Ovis aries: one gene and its partners. The protein of the gene in region 1 interacts with the protein of each later gene in a pairwise test. Links are inferred from orthologs where the notes say so. Each region holds a gene or a part of one and is shown in the gene's direction. Other genes may lie near its edges.

Region 1 (3,027 bases):
TTGAGTTTCCCAGCAGTTGCTGCTGTGTCTACTTCTAGAGGCACTTCCAGCAGGAACATTCTAGGAGTCTTTCTCAGCTTCTACATGGTAGTGGGAACAGATGTTCTGGGCAAAGAGAAGGGTAGATTAGGGCTCCACGACCATAGCAGAGTCAGGCTCGAGCGTATCTCACTTCGTAGAGAAACTGGGACACAGAGTCGAAACACCCTTTTTTGGCTTTTTTTCAATCCCCCCCAACTCACTGAATCTTTTACCTGGAAAAATAAAATAAGTTTAAAAGCTTCGTATCTCTCTTTATCTGGGCCTAATGGATGTATTTCAGTCAATTAGGTAAATTAAAATGAATACTTTTTTTCCTTATCATTATGATTTGGCTACAGTTTGATTCATATTTGTCAAGATGATTCTCAAGAAAACAAAAAGCTTCTTTGTCTCGGTACATAGTTATAAACGTGCAGTTTTGTTTTACAGTACACAGAGGATCACTGGTAAAAAAAATAATAATAATAATACAAATTCAGTCTATACCATGTGTATTTTACCCCAGATTTTAGTGTCTTCAGTATAAAAAGTTAAGCATTAAAGACTGAGATAGGTGGATGGTGGAGCTATATGGTTTACCCTTGTATCTTAGATGTGTCTGTTTGCGAAGGTTATTTACTGCAAAAGAGGGGAAAACATCACATGGGCCCTTGAACCTACCCTCCTATCACCTGCTCTGCCAGCTGCGTGCATCTGTCCACGTGGCTGCCTTTTAATAAGTATGTTTTTGCATAATGTAAATCCTAATGAGCCTGACGTATTTAGATTGTATACATCATTATATCTGACATTCTTACAACTGCTTTGTGATCAATAAGATTCTTATAAGAAATCCTGGTTTAAAAAAAAAAATACCATGCTAGGAGGGGTGACTTATTTTTCACACTAGTGATGCTCACTTTAGTTACAGGATTTTAAAACAAGTCCATTTTTTAAAAAGTTTACTTTAGGTATAGTTGATTTACAGTGTTTCGTTGGTTTCTGCTGTACACCAAAGTGATTCAGTTATACACAGCTCTGCATTTTTTTCCCATGTTCTTTTCCATTTGGGTTTATCTCAGGATTTTGACTACGGTTCACTGTGCTACACGGTAGGACCTTGTTGTTTATCCCTTCTCGTATGTAACTCCAAACTCTCAGTCCCGCTCTTCCCCACTCCCCTCCTCCTTGGCAACCACAGGCTTGTTCTCTATGTCCACACAAGTACATCCGTAACATCTAGGGTGATAAGGGTACACCTGAAAAACTGTCGAAAAAGGATTAGTGGGAGCAGGTGTGTTAAGCAAACGCCTGTGGCGTGTGAACACCGGTGGTTGTAAGCTAATTCTTCTCTAAGCAGGAACGCCTGGGTGTGCCTTTTTGTTTCTGAGTAAGGCTAGAAAACGGAATCATTTCATCTTCTTAGGTTTCCTCTTACTCGACCCAGTCTTTGTAAGAAATGGGAGGCAGCTGTCAGAAGGAAAAACTTTAAGCCCACCAAGTACAGCAGCATCTGCTCGGACCACTTTACCCCGGACTGCTTTAAGCGGGAGTGCAACAACAAGCTGCTGAAAGAGGATGCTGTCCCCACGATATTTCTGTGTACCGAGCCGCACGACAAGGTGAGGGGCGTGTAAAGTACTGGGCGGGTCTCTTTCCATAAAGTTAATGTGTTCAATGGAAAATCTGGAAAAGCCACAGTAGTGTTAAGAATATAAATGTTACCTGGAACCCATCCCTTGTAAATGACCCCTGTTCACAGCAAAATACTTCAAAAAATACAGAGTGTTTAGTAAAGTTAAATATTCTCACACTAAGACACTTCAGCCTAGCTTTTAACTTACTTTAAGATCAGTCTGTATTCCTGCTTGTGTGTTTATGTAGCCCACCAGGATCCTCTATCCATGGGATTCTGCAACCCAGGAGTGGGTTGCCATTTCCTTCTCCAGGGGATCTTCCTGACCCAAGGATTGAACCCACGTCTCTTAGATCTCCTGCGTAAGCAAGCAGGTTCTTTACCACTAGCACCACCTGGAAAGCCCCATGTTCCTGCTTGAAAGTGAAAGTGAAGTGGCTCAGTGTCCGACTCTTCGCGACCCCATGGACTGTAGCCTATCAGGCTTCTCCGTCCATGGGATTTTCCAGGCAAGAGTGCTGGAGTGGATTGCCATTTCCTTCTCCAGGGGATCTTCCCTACCCAGGAATCGAACCCAGGTCTCCCGCATTGCAGGCAGATGCTTTACTGTCTGAGCCACCAGGGAATCCTGGTGTTCCTGCTTATATGTTGATAAGTTTTGATTTTCCTTTATGATGATAGTTAACTTTCAGAGTATTTTCCCCCTCAGTTTTCAGTGCTAGTGTTTAATTAGATCCGATTAATCATTTTGTCTTTTTTGCATCCCATTTCTACTTCAGGTAAAAAAGGAAAATTAAAACTTCTTTTCATTTTAGACTGTTTCTATGCCAAGGAGGCAGAACTAAGTCTAACATTCTTATATTGCACAGGTGCAGAATTTAGTGTGTTCTTTTAATCTGTTACTTTTAATAATGAAGCTCAAACACGCTCTGCGTCTTTGTTCCAGAAGGAAGATCTCCTGGAGCCACAGGAACAGCCCCCGCCGCCTCCTTTAACGCCCCCCATTTCCCAGGTTGATGCTGCGATCGGGTTGCTCATGCCTCCTCTTCAGACCCCCGATAACCTCTCCGTCTTCTGTGACCACAACTACACCGTGGAGGACACCATGCACCAGCGGAAGAGGATCCACCAGCTGGAGCAGCAAGTGGAGAAGCTCCGGAAGAAGCTCAAGACTGCACAGCAGCGGTGCCGCAGACAGGAGAGGCAGCTGGAGAAGCTGAAGGAGGTGGTGCACTTCCAGAAGGAGAAGGACGGCGCCTCCGAGAGGGGCTACGTCATTCTCCCCAATGACTACTTCGAGATAGTCGAAGTCCCCGCGTGAAAACGTGAGATTTGTATTGGTTTTTCATGGGGCAATACCACCTACCCTC
Region 2 (4,268 bases), on another chromosome or scaffold:
CACTTTAATGTGGCTTGACTCTTGGAGTGGGAATGAATTCATGCATTCATTCCACAACCCTTTATAGAGCATTTATAGAGCTTAGCACTGGTGCTTCCGATACCTGGAAAATAAAAGCCCTTTCCCCACGGGGGAGACAGGTAAGTGTCTAGGCAAAAGCATTGCATCTTGGGAGATATGCTTAAAGGGAAAATAACCAGGGCCTAGGATAAAGATAATAATAACCTGGCTGGGGAAAGGGGGTCCTGGGGAGGTGATAGTGGAGTTGAGGCCTGAGTGGCAAGGAAAAGGCCTTGTGAAGATCAGGGGAGAGTTCCAGGCAGAGGGAACAGCAGAGACCTCAAGACAGGAGTGAGTTGGTAGACGTGAGAACCAGGAAGCAGTGCCAGGAGCTAGCAAGTGAGACATCACCAGGGCTCCCCATGGCAAGACCTCCTCCCTGGAAGGCCTGTTTCACACGAAGGCTGGCCGGAGCATGAGGTGGGAAGAAGGGCACTGGTCCATATTCTTTAATACAAGAGCCATTCCTATCGCCTTTCTTTGAGACTCTCCAGTAATGGAATGATGGCAGGTTCTGTTAGGAGGTTATGCCATCAGCCCCTGCCTCCTGCCCTCCTCTGCTTGGCTTCATTCTCCTGTCTCATACCCCAATGTGGGCCAGAGCCAGTGCACTGATTCCCTGGGAAGAATCAGAAATGATCCCCAGCCACATACACCAATGATGTTTCCCCAACAGGCCCACTGATTTAATCCCCTGACCTGTGGACAACCCATTTGCTCCTGACTTCATGTGTGACTTTGAGCCAGTTACTTAACATCCCCAATCTTTCATCTCCTGATCTGTAAAATGAGGATCAAACCAGTCTGGGGCAAGTTGTTATGAGGATTGAGTGCCATCCCTCTTGGCACTCAGGAGATACTCCATGAATGTCAGCTTCCTTATTCTCCCTGAGCTTCCCCCACAAAGAGGGGCTGGTTTACAAAAGGGTAGGGAAGGGTTCCCAGGTGGTGCTAGTGGTAAAGAACACGCTTGCCAAAGCAGGAGACACCGGTTTGATCCCTGGGTCAGGAAGAGCCCCCTGGAGGGCATGGCAACCCACTCCAGTATTCTTGCTTGGAAAATTCCATGAACAGAGGAGCCTGGTGGGTTACAGTCCATAGGGTGGCAAAGAAGCGACTTAGCATGCACAGGCAGGGAAGGTCACAGCAGGCCAGTGCGGGGTGGCCAGTTTGGGGTTCCCTCCCCCCAACTCTGGGACCCTTTGGAAGGTGAGGGGCACTCAGGACTGGCCAGCCAAGGGTAGGGAGGCTACTCACCGATGGGTCCAGCCCTGCCGCCAGAAGAGCCCCTGCGTCTCCCCTGTGTGCTGCCCGGGGAGCCCCAGGGCCAGGCCACTTTCCCGACCCGCTCTTCTGCGCTCCGCTCCGGGCGGCGCGGCTCCTGGCACCTGCTCCCCGTGGGCCGCCCAGGGGCGGGCTCCGGGGACGCGGCGGCTGCCCCGAGACGCGCGGGCCCGGGACTCATCCGCCGCGCACCTCCGGGAGCCAGGAGCCGGGAGCCGCCGAGAATCCGGACCGCCCCTGGCGGCGGCGGACGACTGGATGCGGCCCCGCTCGGGTCGGAAGCGCCCTTCAGGTAGGCGCGGGCGCGGGCCGTGGGACCGCACTCCCGGCTCCCCATCCCGGACCGACGCGCCGCTGGGACTGAGCACCCAAGGGGGCCCGCGCGGGGTGGGGGTGTAGGTGGCTCCGTAGGGCTGGTGGCAGCAGCGAGGACCCTACCCTGCCTTGTGTTTTGGGAAGGTGGGCGACAAGAATCACGAGGCCGAGAGGGGGGACAAGGGTGATGGCCAGAACTTTTAGCTCCCAGGAAGTAGGGGAAGGGAGGCTGGCGACCATAGGCCAGGGACAGCGAGACTCATCCCGAGAAGGGACAATTCTCCGCAGACAGGGGGATCGACCACAGAACCTACCTTTTTTGTCTAAGTTCTTTAGAGACTCCAAAAATCAACTCCCACCCCATCAGCCCCTGAGATAGAACAGAAAGGAAGGGGTGGGGGATGGGAGACCTATTGTCTTTTGGGGGTGGGTGCAGAGAGTACACTCATCCCCCCCACTCCGTCACCCCCATCTCCACTATTCACAGTCATTGGAGGCCGCCTCGCCTGCCCCTCCTCCTTCAAGCAGAATGCCTCCTCTTCTGTCAGGGTCAGAGGTAGAGGCTGGCCCTCCTGGCCTTTGTGGGAGGCAGGATTCCGCCTCACCCGCCCCTCCCCACCCACCCCCACCCGCGCCGACAAATCTCAAACAGCCCCGGACCTCTCAGCCCTCCTCCCTCTGGCTCTCTCTCTCTCTCTCTCTGACTCATTCTCTCAGCCCCATCTTGGAAGTGCTGACCCTGGGGCCATCACGATGGGGAGCCTTGTTTGGGGGAGCTAGTGTTCAGGCTTTTGGGGAGTTGGGCCGGGAGAGCAAGCAGTGGATGAGGCTGAACTGTGCCAGGGTCCTGGGCAGGGGCTTTGGTGCGGGTTGGGGGGCTCTCCTGTACAAATCAGGTTCCTAGGCCTTGCCTGGAAGCAGAGGTCAGAAGAGGGGACACTGAGGCTAATCCCCCCGCCCCCACCTTAGAGGCAGCTGTTCTGTGTTACCACTGTGGGCCCTTCGAGGAGGGATGCAGCTGAGATAACAAGAAAGACTTCCTTCCGGAGGGTGGCCAGAGGATCTTTCAGGGGAGAATCAGTGTCCAGGAGAGGCAGCCCTTATCTCTAGGGTGTTCAGAGGAAGAAGGCCCTCTGGGACTCCCAGCCAATAGGGGGTGAGGATAGCCTGGGGGGATGGTGACCTCACCTCTGGACCATTGCTCTTGTCACCTCTCATGCCCTCTCTCTTGCTTCCTTGGAGCCAGAGTGTTGACTTTCAGCACCACTTAGCCAGCTCACTCCTGAAAACCCCAGCACCCAGCCGTCCCCAGGGAAAGGTGACAGGCTTCATCTCTCATCACTTCGGATGGGACAACAGACATGACTGCCTTGGTTTGTCCAGTGGATCCCTCCCACCCCCACCCACAGCAGCCCAGCCTCAGGGCCTCCTGCCTGGCAAAGTGGGGACGTGTGAGCTGGGGGTGGGAATGGCTGCCCCCAGTCGGGCCATCCCACTCCTCTAGGTGGGAGTCTCTGACTCCTTTGGGGAGTCTTGGGTATGACCATGGGTGACCCCAGCTCTCTGGGCCATCCCCTGGGGGTGCCGCTCTGTGGGGGCTGCACAGTGAACACCCTGCAAGGTGTCAGCCTTGGGAGAGCAGAGTGCTTGGTGGTGGCTCCTTGGGGGCCTGTGGGGGGCAGCCAGGCCCAGGAGGGCTCACACTCCACAGGACAAGAACAGATGAGGCCTCTCTTCTTCCAGACACGGCCCCATACTCCCGCCTGTGACCCTGGGAGTGATGGGATGGGGGCTGCCAGGCTGTGTACCCCTTCCCCCTGCATCATAGGATGAGGCCTGTCGTTTCGATTGTGAGCCTCAGTTTCCTCATCTGTAGAGCCTCACAGGGTTGCTCTGAGGGTTAACAGAGGTGATGTCTGTCCAGTGCCCGGAAGGCAATGGGCACTCGCCACAGGGCAGTTCTTTCTCTGTCCCCACCCCACCTTCCTCTGGCTGCTGAAACAGACAAATACAGCTTGGCGTCCCCCCTCCACCCCAACCTTAGAGGCAGCTGCTCCCCGTGGCCACTACAGCACCGCCTGCAAGGGACCTAAGAGATTAGCCCAGCCCAATCCGCTCTCCTTGAAGACAGGGAACTGAAGCCCAGAAGGGCAGGGCTGGCCCGACTTTGGCCAGCCAGCCAGGCTCCCTTCTCAGAGGCAGCGCAGGGGACCTGGCTCGGGGATGCGAAGGGTAGATATTGGCAGACCTGGGGGAAAATACCAAAGTGTAACTGGGCTCATTAAGGATTAGGTGAGGGAGCCCTTCATGCCCTGCCAAAGGCTGGGGACAGGCCTGGAACCCTCCTCTTCTGTTAACCCTTTGCAAAGACAGGTCTTCCCCAAGAACCCCCTTCCCCAGGATGCAACCACTTCCCGCTCTGCACTTGCGGCCTCCGAAGAATTTCTCTCTAGCCATATTTGGGTAGTGCAGTGCCCAAGGATGCCACTGACACCTGGGGCCCCGAAGTCCACTGACACTCAGCAAGAAGGGGTGGAAACGGGCTCTGGAGCCATATCTGAGTGCTCCCTTCCCCCAAGCCCCCTCTACCTCCGTGAGGACAGACACAT
Region 3 (3,973 bases), on another chromosome or scaffold:
AGAAGTGCCTTTCTCTGCTCCTGTGAGGGGCTTCTGTCCTTTCTCTGGCCTTTCCTCCTCTTCCAGATCTAGTGTGGACAGTGGGCGCGGGAGAACTGAGACCAGCCTGAACCTGCTTTCAGAGCCCTTATTTCAGGACTCTGAGGGCAGCCCTAACACTGAGGGTTCAGAGGTGATTTGGGGAAAACTTTTGGTTGCTCTGAAAATTTTTTTATCCTGTTTTGTCTAAATCCCCTGTCTGCAGGTGAACCAGTGTGTTATTGGCACAGCCCAGGCCAACAAGAAATGAAGATGGATCTAGATTGTGTGTGTGTATGTGTGAGACACACGGGGGGGGGGGGAGGGGGGTAGTGGGCGCTGATACCTGGGCCTATCAAATAAAGAAGAGAATTTTTTGTTGTTTTTAAATAAAGGTTTTATTAGCGGTTGTCCAATAAGGGGGGAGCTGTGGCTCTTCCATTCTGCCAAACGTCTGTGTCTCACGGGGACAGGGCTCCGGCTTTTCTAACGGGTCACTCCAGAGTCAGGGTGGCCCCCGCCCTGCTCCCGTCCCTATCCACGTCCGGGGGGTTGCGCGCACCAGGTGTCCAGTCACTAGTTCCGCTTCCTCCGGCACAGGCCACCCTCGCCCGGGGCAGGAACTCTTGAGTGCGGAAAGGTGGGAGTCCGGGGCGGGGCCGGCGCGTCCGCCCACAAGCTGCGGGCTCTCTCCTCCCGCTCTTTTCCTTCCCTTTCGAACCGCCGGGGCTAGCTCCGCCCGCCGCCATTGGCTGGCTCTCGGCGGCGTCACCGCCTCGGTCCGAGCTCTTCTAGTCGGTGCACCCGCCTCGGCCGCGCGGGGCGGGGCGCATAGGCTAACTCCCTCGCGCCAAGCGCCGAGGGCCGCCGCCCCGTCAGAGGGCTGGGTCTTCCCAGGTGCCGCGCGCGCGGGAGGGGTCGCGCGTGCGCAGAGGCGCGGCGACAGTGGGCGGGGTGGGGGCATCTAACTCCGGGGGGGCGGGGCCGGGGCAAAGGCGGGAGGAGGCGGAGCCCGCGGAGGCCGGGGCAAAGGCGGGAGGAGGCGGAGCCCGCGGGGCCGGGGCGGGGCGGGGGCCATGGGACGGGTGAATGGAGGGCGGGGTCGTGAACTGGAGCGCGGGGCGGGGCCCGGAGTGACCCTGCGGGGCCGGGGGCAGTTAACGGATGTGGCGCGGGGCGGCGGCCCGGCCGGCGGCCTAGCGGGGGATTCCCTCCTGCCCCGAGGGCAGGCCTCTCTCCGGAGGAAGGGGCTGCGGGGATTCCCTCTCCCGCCGGGTCCGCGAGCCCGCCCGCCCCATCCACGGAGACGCTCCCACTCGCTCCGCGCCCTCCAGGCCCGCTGGCGGTGAGGGAGGTGGGGTGAGGAGGTGCCCGCCCCCCCGGCTCCTCCTTCCCCCCGCCCTCCCCTCCCTCCACCCTCCCCCCGAGCAGGTTTGTCCCTCCCCTCCCCTCCCCTCCTTCCCCCCGCCGCCTCCTCCTGCCGCTGCCGCTGCTTTGGCTGCTGCGTCATACGCCCCAGAGCCGCCGGGACGGAGGGGCTGGGCCTGGGGACCCCCCGGTCTCTGCCTGCACGCCCCCCCGACGCCCAGCCGTGCCCTCCCCGCGCGGGGGTTTCACCTCAGTCTCCCACGTCTGCCTCTGCCCGGCTCCCGGCGGCCCCAGCTGTCACTGGTAAGGAGGCGGCGGGAGGCGCCCGTGGGGGGGCAGGGAGCCGGGGGTCGGCGCGCAGGGCGCGGGCGGGAGAGCCGCGCCGCCCGGGCGGCGGGTCGGGCTGGGCCGACTCAAGCCCCCTCTCCCACTCGCCGTCCTGGGGAGAAGAGACCCGGACTGGGACACGCCCCCCTCCCGGGGCACTCAGGGAAGTTCTCTAACCCGGGGGCAGGGAGCCCCGAATTTGAGGGTGACCTGACATAACCTAGCACCAAGATGATTGTTCTGAATGAGACACGGGGGCCCCGGAGGCAACCTTTTCCACTCGAAAACATCTCCAGAAAAAGCTCCCAAAACACGTCTCTGGGAAACAGCACCCCAATTGTAATACCTCTATAAACAGCGGTAGAAGGTGACAGTAGAAACTGAGTGGCAACCTTTGCCTCTGCAACCATCCTTTTTGCTAAAATCTCAAGGCCGGGATACAACGTCCCAGGGGAGCTCTGGCAGCTGGGAAACTAGAGAACTAGGTTGGTGGGGTGGGGGGACGGTGGGGAGAAGAGAACCACTGGTGACTGTTGGGAGAGCTGGAGTCAGGAAGGCCCAAGGGGTGCCCAGGGGTTTCCTACCCAGGTGTCTCAGGGAAATGGAGGCTGGGCACACCTGCTCAAGCCTTTGACAGAAAAACAGGCAAAGAAAATGGGGGCTAGTTCCTCAATATTGGTAACTTTCTCCTACCATCTCACTTCTAACTAGGCCCCCCCAGGATGCAATGGCACAGCCCCCCCGGCTGAGCCGCTCTGGTGCCCCCCCACTTTGGGACCCAGCTTCTCCTGCTCCCACCTCAGGCCCCCGGCCTCGACTTTGGGAGGGTCAAGATGTGCTGGCCAGATGGACAGATGGGCTGCTATACTTGGGGACCATCAAAAAGGTATGACCTCTGACCTGTCACCTTTTCTCATTCCCCTTATCTAGTCTGATTCCTGTTCCATCTTCTGTGCTCACCCATTCCAGGTGGACAGTGCTCGGGAGGTGTGTTTGGTTCAGTTTGAGGATGATTCCCAGTTTCTGGTTCTATGGAAAGACATTAGCCCTGGTGAGAAGCCTGAGAATGGATCCAAGGGAAAACAAACCTGGCATGGGGGACAGAAAGGGGCTGGAGGACAGGCCCTCTGACACTCTGTTCTCTCACAGCGGCCCTCCCTGGGGAGGAACTCCTCTGCTGTGTATGTCGCTCTGAGACTGTGGTCCCTGGGAACCGGCTGGTCAGCTGTGAGAAGTGTCGCCATGGTGGGTGAGAGGGCAGGACACCTGAATGGTCTAGCTTGCCCTAGGTCTACCAGGGTGCTTCTGATCCTTCTCTCCAGCTCTGGTCCTTATACTGTCTGTCCTGGTCTGAGTCCCCAAGCCACTGCTCTGAGCAGTCTCCACAAGCCTGTAACCTCACTCCCTGCCAGCACAGGGAGGGGCAGCCTTGGGATGGGATGCATGAGCTCTGCGGGCAGAGGGTGTGAGTGAGCAAAAGTCTCTCAGTTGTGTCTGACTCTTTGCTACCCCATGAAAAGTACAGTCCATGGAATTCTCCAGGCCAGGATACTAGAGTGGGTAGTCTTTCCCTTTTCGAGGGAATCTTCCCCACCCAGGGATCAAACCCAGGTTCCCCACATTGCAGGCAGAATTTTTACTAGCTGAGCCACAAGGGAAGCCCAAGCACAAGAATACTGGAGTGTGTAGCCTATACCTTTTCCAGGGGATCTTCCTGACCCAGAAGTTGAACCAGGGTCTCCTGCATTGCAGGTGTTCTTTACCAACTGAGCTATCAAGGAAGTCCCAGATGCAGGCAGAGGGTAGTTCCAGTACGGCTTTTTCTAACCATTTGACCTTGGGCAAGTCCCTAAACTTCTAAGAATCACAGCTGCCTCACCTGCTTTTAAAATAAAGATAATACACCCACCTTACCAGGACCATGGTCAAGAACAAAATGAGATGGGGTTAAGACTCTTGTCCCAATACCTAGCGCGCACAGGTACGCAATGCAATAAGTGGTCTACTGTCAATATTCTCATTATTCAGCTTATCACCAGGACTGCCACGTTCCAAGGGCTCCAGCCCCTGGAGAGGGAGAGGGCGCATCCTGGGTCTGCCGCCAGTGCGTCTTTGCCATCGCCACCAAGGTAAGGGCCCCTCCCTGTGGGACCTCCAACTCTCAGCCTCTCCTGGACCCTTCCTTCCTCCACCCCTGAGGCCACCTGTCTGTTCCACCTGCAGAGGGGGGGTGCACTGAAGAAGGGCCCCTACGCCCGGG
Region 4 (3,500 bases), on another chromosome or scaffold:
ATCTTTAATCTTATTTATTTCCAATGAACTTATAATTAAATGTAAATAGACACAGGTAGCCAGGGTTACAGGCTTGGACAGGGTAGATCCAGACCATGTTCTCTAGGATCCCTTTTAAGTGATCTCTCATGTGCTCCTCAGAAACACCCCCTAAGGGGGAAAGCAATCGTTTGTTTCGCCTGCTGTTTTCTCCCATGTATATATCTATACTTCAAAAGCAATACTTGCTTATTGTAATCAGTTCACAAATCAGATGCATAGAGTAGAAGTGAACGCTCCTCCCCTCCACCTCTCCAGTATAACTTTCCTTTTGAGGCCCAGAGACTCAGGCTTGGAATTTGAAATTGGCTTTTCTGATTCTTGGAAGTTTCTTTTGCCTGATGACCATGCTGTTGTGTTGGCAAGGCCATCTGGAAGGAAAGTGAAAAGAGAGAGTTCAGAACCTCATGAGGTCCTGGGTGTGCCCAGAGCTCAGGGTCAGGTGACTGTCTGCAGGACAGTTTTCTGTTGAGGGGTGTCCCCTGGTCAAGTGCACCTGTGTTTGCTGGGTTCCCGAGCTGTCATTGGGTCACTTGAGGTACAGGTTGGTTCAGCTTCGTCTCACCAAAAAATCAGTAAAATTGCTTCAAAGAAGATATTCCCCTCCAATTTGGGTTTCAAGTTTTTTTTCCCCATTGTTGTCAAGATCCTAGTCTTCTTACCATCCTTAATTTTCATGGGAATGATTTTCCTAAGGGAGTATTGGTGAGAAGAAGGAGAATGTGTTAAAAAGTGATTTAACCTTTCTGATTGTTATGTTAAATCAGGCTGCCCCTCACACATCGCTGCCCAATGCTGCTGTGGAGTGCAGCTGGTCCCTAGGAAAACGGCAAAACCAGCTGTTCACTCTGTCCTGGTGCAGTTGAGAGAGTAAGGAGAGGAAATGTAAAGGGACCTTCCGTAGGATTTTCCCCTTCTGTGAACATTTGTGATGTCCTTGTCCACTGGGGTGGTGTGCATTACCATCTGTGTAATGCAATTGAAAGATGGTAGGTGTTGGAGACAGGCAGTCCCACATTCAAATCCTAGCTGCACTGCCAGATTTTCTATCTGCTGAGAATTGGAATAAGAGGGTTGTTATAAAAGCTACAGGAGTAAGAGTCCTGGTACAACAATTGGCACAGAGGCAGTAATTAGTAACTTTAAGTTCTTTTCTGCTTAAAAAAACTCATGAATAAACTCTGTGAGCGGCTTTATGTTTCCTAAAGAAGTACTAGCACCCCTCACTCAAGTATTCCCAGCGTTATCAGTTTTTTGGTGTTTTCTTTGCCACTTCCCTTTTCTGACACCCTGGCACATGTTAAATGTTGGACCACCAGCTCTTTGGGGAGAAAAAGCCATGAATTGTACTGTTCCCTAATTTCTGTACATGAAAATGGCCACCACGGACAGATTTCAAGCTACCAGCATGTCAGCCAGTTCACAGAATGCCTGCATATTTCACCATTGACTCCCGAGTCTCAATCAGCCAGCTACAGCACACCGCTGCTCGTGTGCCTTACTTTCCAAGGAGTGACGTACCTCACACAACCTCATTCGTCTGTGTCTCTGATCTAGCCCAGAAGAAACGGAAAAAGGACAGGAAGAAGCATCGGCCTGCTGATACCCCAGAGGACCTGCCTGCAGCCCCGGGGCAGTCCATTGATAAGAGTTACCTGTGCTGTGAACACCACAAAGCCATGATCGCCGGCCTTGCGCTGCTGAAAAACCCGGAGCGGCTCCTAGGTGAGGAGGTCGCCACAGCCTTCCACAGTAGGAAATGTGTAAGATTACAGATGTCATCAGAGTTGGCTGCCTTGCAGCTTAAGAACCATGATTACAGACCAACAGATGCGCACATATTCATGTCTTTCTTATTCCCAACTGTCTTTCTGCATCATTCATGAACATCCAAGTAACTTTTCCCACAAACTCAAATTGTAATCTTGAAATAGACATACATGCTGATATCTATATTTTTTTCTTCTATGCATTTATTTAAAAATTAGTGTAAAATTTACAGTTTTAAAAATTAATGTATAAAATATCTTCAGTGAAATCTATAAAGTGAATGGATCTTAAATTGTTCAGCTTGATGAATTTTTGCATATCCATATACCCTGTATCCAGATGGAACATTTAAAAATCATATCTCCAGAGAAATACCTGTGTGCTTTAGGAAAATTTCTGGCTTTTCAGTGATGCATTCTTTGAGTGCCAGATGTAATTCTTTCTTGAATTTCTGCTTTTAAAAAAATCCATAGTATAGGTAGTACAGTCATAGCCTTATCGCTGATAATAGGTTGGGATCTAACCACAGGAGCAAAAATATTTGTTTCTGTCCACTCCTGTAGCTGTCTTCTCCCCGAAGTCCCTGAGTATGTCCTGCTGAAATACCCTATACTTGTGGTCTATCTTGGTGCTGATGTGTGTCAGTGGATTCTCAGTTGTTACATTTAATCCTCAGGGTTTCTCTCTTTGGCGATTCTTTCTGGTTTCACATTTTCTTTCATCCCCTGTTTCTCTGAACTTGAGTGTAGGATCTGGGCCTTTGTTTTCCTGTGACTTCTGGAACTTGGATGGACTTCCTTCACTTGTTGGGTGTGTCTTATTAAAGGTAGCTGTGGCCTTTGAGTTGGAAGCTGGGCAGAGGGCATCACATCTACATGCCCTGTGATCATGGACAAGATGTTGCCCATTGTCCCTTCTGTTTCCTAGAGGGGTTTAATGATGCTGATGGTGGGGATTATTGCTGTAATGTCCGCTGAGGGCTTTGCGATGTTTAAGGAACCATAATAATAATATACTGATTGCTCTTCTGGAACTAGTAAAGGAAGGATCATGAGGCCAGGGTTGAATTTACATATATTAAATTGACTCCTGAATTTCTAGAAAGAGACAAGGGAGGCCAAGTCTCTAAATCTTGTATCTTCTGGCTAGAGTGAACAATCCGACTGTCTCTTTTGTCCTCTCTAAGGCTGGTGCAGAACTTTACAGTGAGCAGATGGTAACATAATGCTTTTATTCTTTATTACAGAGACCCCACTGGCACTGTTGGTGGTAGGCCTGGGCGGGGGCAGCCTCCCTCTCTTTATCCACGATCATTTCCCAAAGTCCTGCATCCATGCTGTGGAGATCGACCCCTCTATGTTGGAAGTGGCCACCCAGTGGTTCGGCTTTTCCCAGAGTGACCGGATGAAGGTCCACATTGCAGATGGTCTGGACTTTATAACCCGCCTGGCAGAAGAAGAAGGTACTGCTTTTGGAGAATTTGGAGGGGTGTTGAGGAAAGATTGATCCAAGGTTGTCAGGCCTGCAAGGGGCTGTAGAATTCATCTCTAAGAGATATGAGCATCATCCCAGTCTTTCACCTGTTCATTTGTTCCCTCATTTATTGACATATTTATTCAGTAAATATAGAGTGTCTTAGAGAAGGAAATGGCAACCCACTCCAGTGTTCTTGCCTGGAGAATCCCAGGGAC
Region 5 (4,010 bases), on another chromosome or scaffold:
TGAAGTAGAAGGTGCCTCCTGCAGTGGAAGCGTGGAATGTTAACCACTGGACTGTCATGAAAGACCCTAGCAAACTTTTCATTCCCATTCTTCGCACCCTTCTTACACTACAGGACTTTGAAGGAGGCTCATGATGCCAGCTTCAGGAAGCAAATGTGCAGTCACTGACAAATCTGCAAGACCTGGGCTACCAGGAATTCCCACAGGCTCTTACATGAGAAGCCTAGAGCCATTGCCTTCAGATAACCTGGCCTCTAAGCCCTCTCTGGGAGAGATGCTCAAGATATATATATTTTAAAGCTCTGAAATCTAGCATTTTGGAACTAAATGACTCGAAGAGAATTAAGCCCATACCTTTCCCTGCCACACTGACTTATAACGTGTTAAAATAAGTCCATAAAAACTAAACCAACCAGGTAATTAAACAGAATAGGAAACAGACCCTGAAGAGGTGATGTGCCTGTAATTCCTATCTCCTAATTCCCAACAGCTCCTTTTTTCCCTCCAGACTCAAGATCTTACAAAGGCCAAACTAGAACCAGACACATGCTGATCTAACTGCATTTAGTGGCTGTAAGGAGGGGCAGGCAAAAACCTAAAAAAGATACTATCTCCTTGTTGCCTATCCCCTACCCATCCAAGCCCTGCCTGCAGACGGGTCCGAGTCCCGACATACTACTTTCAACCCTAAAGTTCTACCCCAGGCTTCACGGTCAAGAAATTGTATCAAGAAAAAAGGAAGGAGGTACACGATCATTAACGGGTTCTTAAACCCTTTTTCCTGCCGCCTTCCAGGAAGAAGGGGCGAATCTCCGAGGAAAGGGGCCTGCAGATTCTGCAGCCCTCGCGGTGGCCCCCTCACTTACACAATCCGAGGACATTTTGCTCATCTTCCGGGGGACTGTGGACCCTGGTCGGGATCCTCCTCCCGGGTATATTCGAGGCTCCAGGGGCCTTCAAGTCCCCAAACCCCGCCCCACAAAGTCCTCTGAAGTCCTACCAAGTCACTCCCATGGTGTCGTGCCAGGAAGATGGGAGGATCAAACAAGTGAAATGCGCTGTGCTCCAGCAGCCCACAAGAGGAGAAACCACCTCGCTAAAGCGAGCTCCAATGGAGGCAGGCGCTCCGGAACTTACGTAAAAACACAGCGTCCAGTCGACACGCCCACGAGGAAGGGCGTGTCTGGGTCCTTCGGTGAGGTCACTGCCCGACTCCGCCCCGCCCCCGATCCCCTGGTTCGCCGGTCAGGGAATTCCCATTCGCCTGGGCACCCTGGACCCAGATCCATGAAACTAGGAAAGTGTATCTCGGACTACAACCACTTAGAGAAGACAACGTTAAATTCGGGAGGACCCAGCTCCAGGACCCGTGAGCTCTTTTTGGGGGGGGGGGGGGGTGGGACGGGGCTTCTGGCACACCCGGCCTCCAGACGCGAGGGGGCGCTGTGAGCTCCGGTGGGCTCTCGGGCGCTGGGTGTTTACCGCGCAAGCGCACTCGGGGCCTTTTTTTCCTCCATACCCACGTGGGAAACTTCACGGCTTGGTTTTCTAGAAAAATGCCCAAGTTCAAGGCGGCCCGCTCGGCCGGGGGTCAGGAGAAGCATGCGCCGCTGGCCGAGCAGATCCTGGCTGGTGACGCGGTGCGGGCAGGAGCCCGAGAAAAACGGCGGGGTCGCGGAACCGGAGACGAGGAGGAAGAGTACGTGGGGCCCCGGCTGACCCGACGGATTTTGCAGCAAGCGCGGCAGCAGCAAGAGGAGCTCGAGGCCGAGCATGGGAGCGGGGACAGGCCCGCGGTGCCGCGGGAGCGCACCACGCGGCTGGGTGAGTGGGGGGGATGGGGTACGAGGAGGAGGGTGGGTAGCTGGGGCGGACGGCTGAAAGGTGTCTGGCAGGGGAATAACTTGGAATTAAAAAACAACAACAACAAAAAACTGAGGCCCTTGGCAAAGGTAATGGGGTTGGGAGACCCAGCTCTGGGGCAGATTGAGGGTTGCCGGAGCCCTCCACGCCCATTCCTTAGAGTGGCACTCTTATAGGCATCACCGAGGTTAGGCCAGCAGGAAGTGGTTACTCACGCCGCTAAGTTCTCCTGGCATTTATTTACGTGTTTTGTAAGTAATCATGGAATGTCTACTACGCACATCCCGCCGTGCTAGGAGTTTAGATGGTTTAGATAAAAAACTGTAAACAGGGTAAAGGTATACCTAACGTCAGGATCTTCCAGTGTAGCCCGAGAGAAAGAATTAAGTAAGCAATTAGAATAATGCACTCGTGATAAAGTATAGCTTCTCTGACAATAGCATTAGTCTTGGGAGTCAGGTTTCCCAGGTTGCATGACCGTTGTGCTGAGAACTGAAAAGTAGGGAGTGCTCTGAGCACAAAGAACAATATTGTTTCAGGACTAGAAAGGGAGCGAGATTATTTAAAAGATGGTCATTTTTCTCGTTATTACTCTGAGAGTGTTGACCTCCAAGTTGCTTAATCCATTTCTCAACACTCATCTTTCATTTGTCTGTGAGCAGCATTCACAAACGGAGAAGGCAATGACAGCCCACTCCAGTACTCTTGCCTGGAAAATCCCATGGACGGAGGAGCCTGGTGGGCTGCAGTCCATGGGGTCTCTAAGAGTCGGACACGGCTGAGCGACTTCACTTTCACTTTTCACTTTCATGCATTGGACAAGCAAATGGCAACCCAGTCCAGTGTTTTTGCCTGGAGAATCCCAGGGGTGGGGGAGCCTGGTGGGCTGCCGTCTGTGGGGTCGCACAGAGTCAGACACGACTGAAGCGACTTAGCAGCAGCAGCGTTCACAAACACTAGCCTCCTTGCTACAGTATCTTTACTCCGCTTCTAAGACATCACATCCCTGTTTTGCTAGTTTTTCACCTCAGTGGGCTTCCCAGGTGGTGGAACCCACCTGCCAATGCAAGAGATGTTGGTTCAATCCCTGAGCCAGGAAGATCCCCTGGAGAAGGAAATGGCAACCCACTCCAGTATTCTTACCTGGAGAATCCCATGGACAGGGGAGCCTGACAGGCTATAGTCAGGAAAAGTCCACAGGGTCACAAAGAGTCAGACACGACTGAGTACACGCACACACCTCTCAGTATCCTTTGCTGGCTCCTATTCTCCCGCTTCCGACGCCTGCTGGTGGGATCTCAGTTCCCCTACCAGGGGTTGAACCCTGAGCCCCAGCAGTGAAAGCCCAGAATCCTTACACTAGGCCACCAGGGAGCTCCCTTTGCTGACTTCTCGTTTGTTGCCAGCCTCTTCCTGTAGTGCCACAGCATTACATCCTTGGAGCTAGTCTCTTCACCTCTGATGACTTCCCTGGTGCTGTCATCAGGGTTGAGGTTTAAATACTGTCTGTTTGGTAACTGCTTCCAAGTTCATATTCCAGCCTCGATCTCTTCCATGAAACCCAAAGTCTTATATTTCAGCTCTCTCTTTAGCTTCTCCAATTTGAAGTCTAAGAAACATCTCAGATTTAGCATGTCCAGAACAGAAATCCTGACCATCTTGCCAAACCTGCTCCACTCCCAGTCTGCTTCATCTCAATTAATGACATGATGTCCTTCCATTTGCTCCAGGCAGAAAACTCTAGACTTGTCTCTTTCTCGCTCCATATCCAATCAATTAGGAAGTCCTGTTGACTCTGCCTTAAAAATATATCCAGAATCAGATCAGTTGGCACCATCTTGGAACACCATCCTGTTCAAACCACAGTGATCTCTCACCTGGGTGACTGCAGTAGCCTCTTACCGAGAATCCCGTATCTGCCACAGTCTACTCTCCACTCAGCAACTCAGGATTGCCTGATCTACAGAGACCTATATGATCTGTACCTGTTGTCAGTCTGACCTCTCCTGCTCCTTTCCCTTTGCCCTCTTCTCTCCATCCGGGTCAAACCAGCTAGTTCTAAAAGAGATCAGTCCTGAATATTCACTGGAAGGACTGGTGCTGAAGCTGAAGCTCCAGTACTTTGGCCACCTGATGCGAAGAGCTGA
Region 6 (3,980 bases), on another chromosome or scaffold:
CTCACTCATACATTTAGTCATTCAACAAATTTGGGGGAGGCGGGGGGTAGGCCTCAGAGATACAGTTTTGATATTCAGTTCTATACTTTCATAGAACTCTAAAAACATTCTAAATCATTATGACTGCCTTCTTTTCCTTCTACCTCTCTGACTGCTTCTCAGTCCCCTTTGCATTTTGGTTTCCCAGCTTCTGCCTTAGGCTCTTCACATTCTTCTTCTTTCTTGATTAAAGACTTTTTATTATTTTTACTTAGAGCAGTTTTATGTGGGAAGTTTTAGTTTTGAGGGGAAGATACAGAGATTTCTAGGTCTTGGTTTCTGAAAGGGACTTCTTTCGCGTAAGCAAACTCGTAGGTTTTCCTGGTGGCTCATTGGTAAAGAACTCGCCTGCCAATGCAATAGACACGGGTTCAGTCCATGGGTGGGGAAGATCCCTTGGAGAAGGAAATGACAAACCACCCCAGTATGCTTGCCTAGGAAGTCACATGGACAGAGGAGCCTGGTGGGCTACAGTCCATGAGGTCACAAGAGTCAGCTGTGACTTAACTAAAACAATTAACAAAGCATACCTATTACATGCTAGGCTTCTTACCAACCTAATCCGGTTTAAGCTTCATAAACTGGTAAGAGTTATTATCATCGTCTTTATTTCACAAGTAAGAAGACTGAAGTTGAAGAGACAAGTAACTTTCCTAGTCACATTCAGGGCAGGGATTCGGATTCAAATGGATTCACACATAGATTTGAGACCGTCTCAACCTTTTTTCCTTGCACCAGTCTCCTCCAGTTCCACTGCCCTTGTATAATCCTGGGCTGGATCACCACTGTCAGTGTATTTTAATTGCCCAAGGAATTAGCTGGGTTTTGTTGTTTTTTAAAGAAAGCAACAGGCATTTCACTGACTCTGTGTAAGTTTTTAGAGAGGTCTTGTGTGAGGAAACAAATCCAGAGAATGTCAGCTTGTTTACTAGATTCTTTCAGATGAATTTCCTCCGAAGCCTAGATCTCAGATCTCTACCACACCGCGCAAAATTTTTCCGTCTCCAAGGCGACAGAGAGTAGTCCCTCCTTTCTCGTTCTCTCGCGCGTCTGGATGACATCACACGGCGAGGCTCTCTGACGTAAGAGTTTCCTGTCCACCATCTTTGTACCGGGCAAAGTGGGTTTTGCGCAGTGGCTTAGACCTGGAGAAGGAGTCGTGACGTGCAGGAAACCATTACAACATCGCTCGGGCCGTGCTCTCTGGCCGCTGCTGCCACCCCCGCCCTTGCCTACGGTGAGTTGTAGGCGGCTACCTCTGGGGTGTGTCCCTTTTTGATGGGGATGGGGGATCCCCAGACTTGGTTGGAGACAGGCGGAGGAGAGGAAATCCGAGGACCGTGACCGTTGAAGATGGAGTGAGCCGTCGGGTGTGACCGTTGTGAGGAAGAGGGTTGGAGAAAAGGACTCCACCGCTGGGGCGGGGCGAGGGAATCCTCGGGGTGGGAATTGGGGGGTATTGGGGGAAAGATATGTTCGAAGTCGGGGGGTTAAGAGGGTCAGAGGCCAGGGGTGTGGCTGGCGGAGACCGGAGGCCAAGGAGAGAACCTTGCTTCTTCCCGGTTTGGCGTCGTTCTCTGAGAGGCTAGGTAGGACATGCTCAGCTCAGGAAAGGGAAAAGGGGTTCCCCAGAGCTTTGCTCCTAGATGGGTAAACCTCGCCGTCGCCCGTCATTTGAGGTTAAGAGACGCCTCTCTGCTTCGTAATGGAGGAACATAGCCGTAGAATTTTTACCACCTCGGGAAAGAAGAGGAATTCCTGACTCCGAAGATAGGGAAGAAAAACCCAGAGAATTGACCCGATATGAGAGAGGGGGAAGCTCTTGAGAGTAAATGTTAGCCCGGAGTTTTTTCTTCGGGGTCTTAGAAGGAACGGTCTGGTTTGAGAAAGGCTGTGGATTAGACAGAGGTAAAGAAACTGGAACTTCCTGTTAATTCCATTTTTTTTTTAATCCAAAGAGTTTATTCATGCTGTTAGTTTTTAACAGCACTCTTCTATTTGGGGGCAGACTCTTTTTTAAACTCCATTATGAAGCGGTGTGAATAAAATGTGGCTGCTTCATTAAACTTTTCACTTTTAAAGGTTTTAAAAATGCCAAAACACTGTTAACAATCCTTGTAGTTTAAAGAGAAAGTAAAAAAAAAAAACGCAGTAAGTTTAGAAAAGATAGAATGACCAAGAAAGTGGTCTCAGTGAGGAACAATTTAAATTATTAATCACCTTCCTGGTATACTTGTGTTGCTTAGCTTCAGGGTACACTTACAAAGTAATAATAGAAAGCAGCAGATGAAGGAGATGCAGCTGTGCAAGAAAACGTGTAACACTTTGCCAGTGGTGACTAAGCCTGGTGGGAACGTGAGAACTGTTTACAGGTATTTGACAGTTTAAACTCCCAAAGAAGCCGAAAGTAGAGGGTGTTCTGCAGATAGCTTCACTGAAAGCTGGATGGTAAAATTAGTATAAAGCTAACATTCTGTGAGGGCTTCCCTGGTGGCTCGCCTGCAGTAGGCGTGGGTTTGGTCCCTGGCTTGGGAAGATCCCCTGCAGAAGGCAATGGCAGGCCACCGCAGTGTCCCTTCCTGGGAAATCCTATGGACAGAGAAACCTAGCAGGCTTCAGTCCATGGAGCTGCAAAACAGTAGGATGTGACTTAACCACTAAACAACATTCTGTGACTTAAGAGACTCAAGAAAACCTGGTTCTTCCATCTTTTTTTTTCCTTCTTTAAACACACCTGTATTTTTAGTCAGTTCAGTTACTCAGTCGTGTCTGACTCTTTGCCACCCCATAGACCGCAGCACTCCAGGCCTCCCTGTCCATCACCAACTCCCGAAGTTTACTCAAACTCATGTCCGTTGAGTCAGTGATGCCATCCAGCTATCTCATCCTCTGTTGTCCCCTTCTCCTCCTGCCTTCAGTCTTTCCCAGCATCAGGGTCTTTTCCAGTGAGTCAGCTCTTTGCATCAGGTGGCCAAAGTATTGGAGTTTCAGCTTCACCATCAGTCCTTCTAGTGAATGTTCAGGACTAATCTCCTTTAGAATGGACTGGTTGGATCTCCTTGTAGTTCAAGCGACTCTCAAGAGTCTTCTCCAACACCACAATTCAAAAGCATCAATTCTTCGGTGCTCAGCTTTCTACCTGTGTTTTAAAATATTACATTTAAGGCACAGTTCTGAATCAAGCTGAACAAGTAACAAATTAGGAAGGACACATTTTCTTTTCTTCCTTCTCTCTCTCCAGGCGTTAAGTTTTCCAGAGTTTATTTCAATTAAGAATTGGATGTGAAACTTAAGACCTTTTTTCTTACTGTATGATATTAGCAGAGTACTTTGTAGTTAAATGGGAATGATAGGTATGTCTGTTGTAATGAGTTATCTGTTGTAATTTTGTATGCAATAAATGATACATGAAGATGTGTTATTGAAATGTGTAATTAGCACTTCTCATCCTTATGCTTGTAATGAAAGATTACTAAGATGACCTGTCCACTTTATAATTTGGTTTAATTCTGTTCACTTTTTCCCTACGGGCACCAGCTGTGTAAAATCCAACTTCACGTGAAGAGAGTGGATTTACTGGCCTCACCAACTCTAAATTAGCTGCTATTTCCCAGAGAGCCATTCGGAGTTAAGACCCCTATTAATTTTTTTCTGGCCTTATTCTCTTTAGGGGCACCAGAAGGAAGGAGGGATAGTTGAGAAGGGAAAACTGTCACAGCCTATATTTAGTAGAAACTAGGTTATGTTAAATCTAGATGTGTAATCCTGTACAGAGAGGCCTTTTCTGAAATGCAGTGACATCACACTCTGGGCTAGGAAAGTTAGAGAAATTGTGCATTTGACTCTGTCAGCCTCATTTATGTTTTAAAACGATGTCCTGAGGCCATACCTCAAGCCGGTAGAGCAGCCGATGGATGACTTGTCTAGTTTGACCTGGTAAA
Region 7 (4,239 bases), on another chromosome or scaffold:
CATCTTCTCGTGGTTCAAGCTTTCCGATAGTAGGAATCTCAGGAGGGCTAAAGATATTGAAGAATGATGCATCAGGAACCACTCTTGGCTGGGTTTCAACTTGTCCAGTAGCTGCTGTGCAACTCTGGGTGGTTGTCATTGTAACATCCTTTCCTCTTCTCCAATCTTACAGCCTTTGCAATCTTGGATTTCCCAGTCCCAAGAGAAGAAGGGATCATTGTGATCTGGCTTTGACTTTATTATATATCTCTTGGTCAGCACCTCATTCTTGAAGTATGGATTGGGTAGAAAGCAAAATTCAAATGTGTAACTTACAGGCCTGCTGGGTTTTTAAAACTTCAGGCTAACATCAGACAGAAGTTCAGAATGGGCTCATCATACTTCTGAATCATGGGCCCCAGCTTGTCAACATTCTTGAACACAGTCAGCCAATAGTCAGGAATGCCTTTAGGATCTTATCTTTTAGGCTTTCCTTTTCGAGCTCTTTTAAGAGCTCTATCTTTAGGCGTGACCTCAGGAACTCTTTTTGGAGCCTCTTTTCCTGGAGTCCTTGCCTTAGCCTCTGCTGCTTTAGCCTGCCCTTTATCTTCTGCCTTTGCCTGGAGGGCTTATTTTGGATCTTCTTTTACTTCAGGCCTGGCCTCCAGAGCATCTTTGGACTGTGCTTTTTCTTCAGTCTTTGCTTCGGAATTTTCTTTTGGTGTTACATTTTCTTCAGCCTTGACCTCAGGTTTTGCTTCCAGGTCATCCTCTTCTTCCTCACTCTCTAAAGCAGGCATCTCACTAGAGTCTTCCTGCATCTCTTCATCGCTGCTGAACACCTCATCCTCCGAATTCCATTCACATTTTTCTTCCGTGGGCTCATATTCTGCATTGATGATTTGGAATCGCCGGTTGTACAGAGCCCTATTGAGTTCGGCATATTTTCGTTCGAGATCATGAACTGCCTTTAAGAACAGGGCGTCTACCTTGTCACATTCGTCTTGAATATTTCTGAGAGCCTGCACACGATTTCTAACCGCCCGAGGCAGCTGATCCACGAAACTTCTACCTGACGGAGCCCGCCTCACACTTCTGGAGGGCCCAGGTACACTTATACGTCTATAGAATGGGCTGCGGCCACTGCTGCTACTGCAACTACTGCTGCTGCTACAGCTGCTGCTGTCAGATTCGTCCCCAGAATCGCTAGACGAGATAGCTACCATCTCTCCATCCACCCCCTGGGCGGCAGGTTCCGAGACCCTGTTAGGATCCGCTTCTGCCATTCTGCAAGTCTGCAAACCTCTTAGGTGGTCACTACCGCGTGCCCAGAGATGGGTAGAAAATGACTCACGGATGCTTGGGTGGTGGCGGCGGAAGCCGGGGCTGAGGAAGTGGCAGCGGTGAAGGCAGCAGGAGCGCTGGGCGGGGCGCGGCTGGGCCGAGGTGACTGCACCGGAGGTGGCGGCGGCAGCGGAGGCCTGGGCGACAGTGGTGGAGGCAAGGCCTCTCTGACCTGCAGCTGCGGCGGACTGAGGTGTGACGCAGCTGAATATCGCACTGCGAGAGCCCGAGATCTCTTCACTGCTTACATCTTGAGCCCCCTCCCCTCGCAGTCAGACCTCCAGTTCCTTTAGTTCCCAGTGTGCCTTTAGCTCGCACCTCATTTGCTAGACAAACTTGATTGACCTTGATTGACAATGCATCAGCCCAATAAGTGCGCAAGCACACCGCCGCCTCTAGGCTCCGCCTTCCTTTCCAGTCGCTCCTTGGTTGCTGAGGCACACACCACTGAAGACTTTTTTCCCCTTAAAATTCTGTCTTTATAGTTTTATAATTTCAAAAAAAAAAAAAAAAGCTTAGATATGAGGTAAAAATACTAGTCATGGTTCCTAACAAGGGAAGAGGAGTACGCTCCCATCCACTCATCCTTAATTCCCATTTGGTTTGTCAGGGGCCTCGTGACAAAAAGCTGTTCTTAAAAAATTGGAAGAAAATGCTCCAAATGGCATCATTGGATAGTATGATTATGGATTTCTTTTTAAATTCTCTTTCTTTTATCTGAATGTCTTATGAGCATGTATTTTTACACTGGGTAAAAAGGGGGAGTCGTTTATTGGCGAAGGGGGGAGGGGCTAGAAAGCAGGCATATTGAATTCCACGTAGCAGCTTTAATAAGTGCTGTTTGTGATGTTTGGCAAGCCTGTTTTATATCCATCTACAAGGTTTGCGAACCCATGTTGCCGTGAGTCAGTTACACCATTTTTTTTTACTGTATTTCTCTTTTTAATCTGACATGTCATAGACCCTGTCCTTGCTGGTGATTTGCCACGTAGTCTTTCTCCATGCTTTTAACAATCTTGTAGATAAAAAGGATAAACGGGCATTCAAATGTTAGGTAGTAGTATTTAAAAGCAGATGGTTTATTCTATACTTTTGTGGCAGCAGCTTTTAATTTCACGAATAGCAGGATGGGAGGGGGAATGTGTTGATGAAACTGCATCCTCTGTCAGGGTGTACTTTACAATGGCATCTGCCACCAGTTTCCTTCTAACATTGTACAATTCTAGCCATACTGAAGTATGATTTACAGGTTCAGTAATAGATGAATACACTTTTGCAAAATGAAGTTTAAAAACAGGTATCTGTTATTTTTATTTACAGGATTCTTTTCTGCAACAGAACGACTCCCTTGGTACAACCAAAAAGACCAGTGTTTACTTTTCATTGAAAGGTAAGGAACATATTTAGCCCATTTTTATGAATGACAAGAATTACCTATCTATATTTAAATAAAAATTCACAAGATGTAGCCTTTTATTTGGAAGATATCTTGTTAGTTCCATGGAAGCAGAAAAATCCACAGAGGTGATTTGGAATACTAATGTAGAAAATAACCTAATTAATCACATTCACTTTTCTGAACTTGCTCATAGACTACAAGTAACAAATTAAAATATAAAATATGATGAATTATTCATTTCAAATGAGGAAAAGTATTAAAGTTAGATTACCTCTTATCTTTCCTTTTTATTACAGAATTTGTGCTTATTTAGTTGTATTTTTTAAGTTAGGAAACACTTTTATTTCTATTTTATAAATGAATTTACTTTTATTATTTACTCCTGATTGTCAAAGTATGTAAGTATTGTAAGGAAAAATACAGCATAGAAAATTTCAATGGTAATACAAACACAATCAAATGATAACCACTGTTAGAATTTTGATGCATTTTCTTCCAGAATTTTCTTTGTAAATATATACATATGCCTGTTTACACATGCTGTTTTATCTATGTGACATCATATTGTGTTTTGTAATCTGCTTATTTATCAATTAATTGTGGCTATATTTTCACAGTAAATGGTTGAACATCTCATTTTTAAATAGATGCATATTCCATGAAAATATTTCCCGTAGTTTAACCAGATTCCTATTGTACAGCAGCTACTTATACTACCTCTCTACTAGTAGACGTATTTTTCCTGTTAGAAAATAGTTATCTCAGATACCTACTCTATGCACTTGTAAAAATTAGCCATATGATGAATTCCTAGAAATGAGAGTCCTGAAATAAACTGCCTGATCATTTTACTCTTTGATACATAGTGCAAAACTTCTCTCCAGAAAAAATTATCACAATTTGCAATTATACCAACAATGCATCAGTTCATTTATTTAGTCATTCAACTATTATATTTTTGTGCCTGCCATGTGCCAGGCACATGTGGTAGAGGAAGATGATATAAGTCTCACTAAAACTTACTGGGTGCATATCCTTTCATTTTTATAATTTTAATTAAAATATATACTATAGAAACAATGATTTAAATCAATGAAGCTATGCTGTAAATATTGTTCTATAAATTATTATTTTCCCTTAAAATGATGGACACATTTTGTTAATGAAGGAAGTTATATTTTATAGTACTTTAATGGTTTAATATACATGTTAAGTTTTGTACCAACAAGAATTAGTATTTTGGTTCTTTTTTAATTTTTTAAATTTTTTTATTTTACTTTACAATACTGTATTGGTTTTGCCATACATCAACATGAATCCACCACAGGTGTACATGTGTTCCCAATCCTGAATCCCCCCTCCCACCTCCCTCCCCATACCATTTCTCTGGGTCATCCCAGCACACCAACCCCAAGCATCCTGTATCCTGCATCGAACCTAGACTGGCAATTCATTTCTTATATGATATTATACATGTTTCAATGCCATTCTCCCAAATCATCCCACTCTCTCCCTCT

What was found.
Region 2: the proteins of THAP1 (region 1) and ZNF385C interact in a two-hybrid assay, tested with the Homo sapiens proteins (3 studies listed by BioGRID). The two-hybrid records come from large-scale screens. The link is inferred for Ovis aries from reciprocal best matches to the Homo sapiens genes THAP1 and ZNF385C.
Region 3: the proteins of THAP1 (region 1) and PHF1 interact in binary tests that used the Homo sapiens proteins (3 or more experiments, as listed by UniProt). The two-hybrid records come from large-scale screens. The link is inferred for Ovis aries from reciprocal best matches to the Homo sapiens genes THAP1 and PHF1.
Region 4: the proteins of THAP1 (region 1) and METTL13 interact in binary tests that used the Homo sapiens proteins (3 or more experiments, as listed by UniProt). The two-hybrid records come from large-scale screens. The link is inferred for Ovis aries from reciprocal best matches to the Homo sapiens genes THAP1 and METTL13.
Region 5: the proteins of THAP1 (region 1) and BYSL interact in binary tests that used the Homo sapiens proteins (3 or more experiments, as listed by UniProt). The two-hybrid records come from large-scale screens. The link is inferred for Ovis aries from reciprocal best matches to the Homo sapiens genes THAP1 and BYSL.
Region 6: the proteins of THAP1 (region 1) and AP2B1 interact in binary tests that used the Homo sapiens proteins (3 or more experiments, as listed by UniProt). The two-hybrid records come from large-scale screens. The link is inferred for Ovis aries from reciprocal best matches to the Homo sapiens genes THAP1 and AP2B1.
Region 7: the proteins of THAP1 (region 1) and FAM133A interact in binary tests that used the Homo sapiens proteins (3 or more experiments, as listed by UniProt). The two-hybrid records come from large-scale screens. The link is inferred for Ovis aries from reciprocal best matches to the Homo sapiens genes THAP1 and FAM133A.

What each region holds. Positions count from the first base shown.
Region 1 is NC_056079.1:36,885,326-36,888,352, reverse strand, and holds part of THAP1 (THAP domain-containing protein 1), read left to right. Parts: intron 1-1,447; coding exon 1,448-1,643; intron 1,644-2,603; coding exon 2,604-2,978; 3' UTR 2,979-3,027. UniProt on the Homo sapiens protein: DNA-binding transcription regulator that regulates endothelial cell proliferation and G1/S cell-cycle progression.
Region 2 is NC_056064.1:41,946,880-41,951,147, reverse strand, and holds the start of ZNF385C (zinc finger protein 385C), read left to right. Parts: upstream 1-1,468; 5' UTR 1,469-1,602; coding exon 1,603-1,636; intron 1,637-4,268.
Region 3 is NC_056073.1:7,741,556-7,745,528, forward strand, and holds the start of PHF1 (PHD finger protein 1), read left to right. Parts: upstream 1-1,173; 5' UTR 1,174-1,689; intron 1,690-2,424; 5' UTR 2,425-2,440; coding exon 2,441-2,599; intron 2,600-2,682; coding exon 2,683-2,764; intron 2,765-2,862; coding exon 2,863-2,958; intron 2,959-3,741; coding exon 3,742-3,842; intron 3,843-3,936; coding exon 3,937-3,973. UniProt on the Homo sapiens protein: Polycomb group (PcG) that specifically binds histone H3 trimethylated at 'Lys-36' (H3K36me3) and recruits the PRC2 complex. Involved in DNA damage response and is recruited at double-strand breaks (DSBs).
Region 4 is NC_056065.1:38,471,624-38,475,123, forward strand, and holds part of METTL13 (eEF1A lysine and N-terminal methyltransferase), read left to right. Parts: intron 1-1,596; coding exon 1,597-1,764; intron 1,765-3,055; coding exon 3,056-3,271; intron 3,272-3,500. UniProt on the Homo sapiens protein: Dual methyltransferase that catalyzes methylation of elongation factor 1-alpha (EEF1A1 and EEF1A2) at two different positions, and is therefore involved in the regulation of mRNA translation.
Region 5 is NC_056073.1:15,721,276-15,725,285, forward strand, and holds the start of BYSL (bystin), read left to right. Parts: upstream 1-1,210; 5' UTR 1,211-1,369; intron 1,370-1,552; 5' UTR 1,553-1,556; coding exon 1,557-1,824; intron 1,825-4,010. Other genes in the region: MED20 (mediator of RNA polymerase II transcription subunit 20), read right to left, coding at 1,001-1,014. UniProt on the Homo sapiens protein: Required for processing of 20S pre-rRNA precursor and biogenesis of 40S ribosomal subunits. May be required for trophinin-dependent regulation of cell adhesion during implantation of human embryos.
Region 6 is NC_056064.1:14,480,627-14,484,606, reverse strand, and holds the start of AP2B1 (AP-2 complex subunit beta), read left to right. Parts: upstream 1-1,180; 5' UTR 1,181-1,420; exon of another isoform or gene 1,421-2,411; intron 2,412-3,980. UniProt on the Homo sapiens protein: Component of the adaptor protein complex 2 (AP-2). Adaptor protein complexes function in protein transport via transport vesicles in different membrane traffic pathways.
Region 7 is NC_056080.1:140,888,211-140,892,449, reverse strand, and holds the start of FAM133A (protein FAM133A), read left to right. Parts: upstream 1-1,439; 5' UTR 1,440-1,849; exon of another isoform or gene 1,850-2,000; intron 2,001-2,155; exon of another isoform or gene 2,156-2,377; intron 2,378-2,643; 5' UTR 2,644-2,713; intron 2,714-4,239.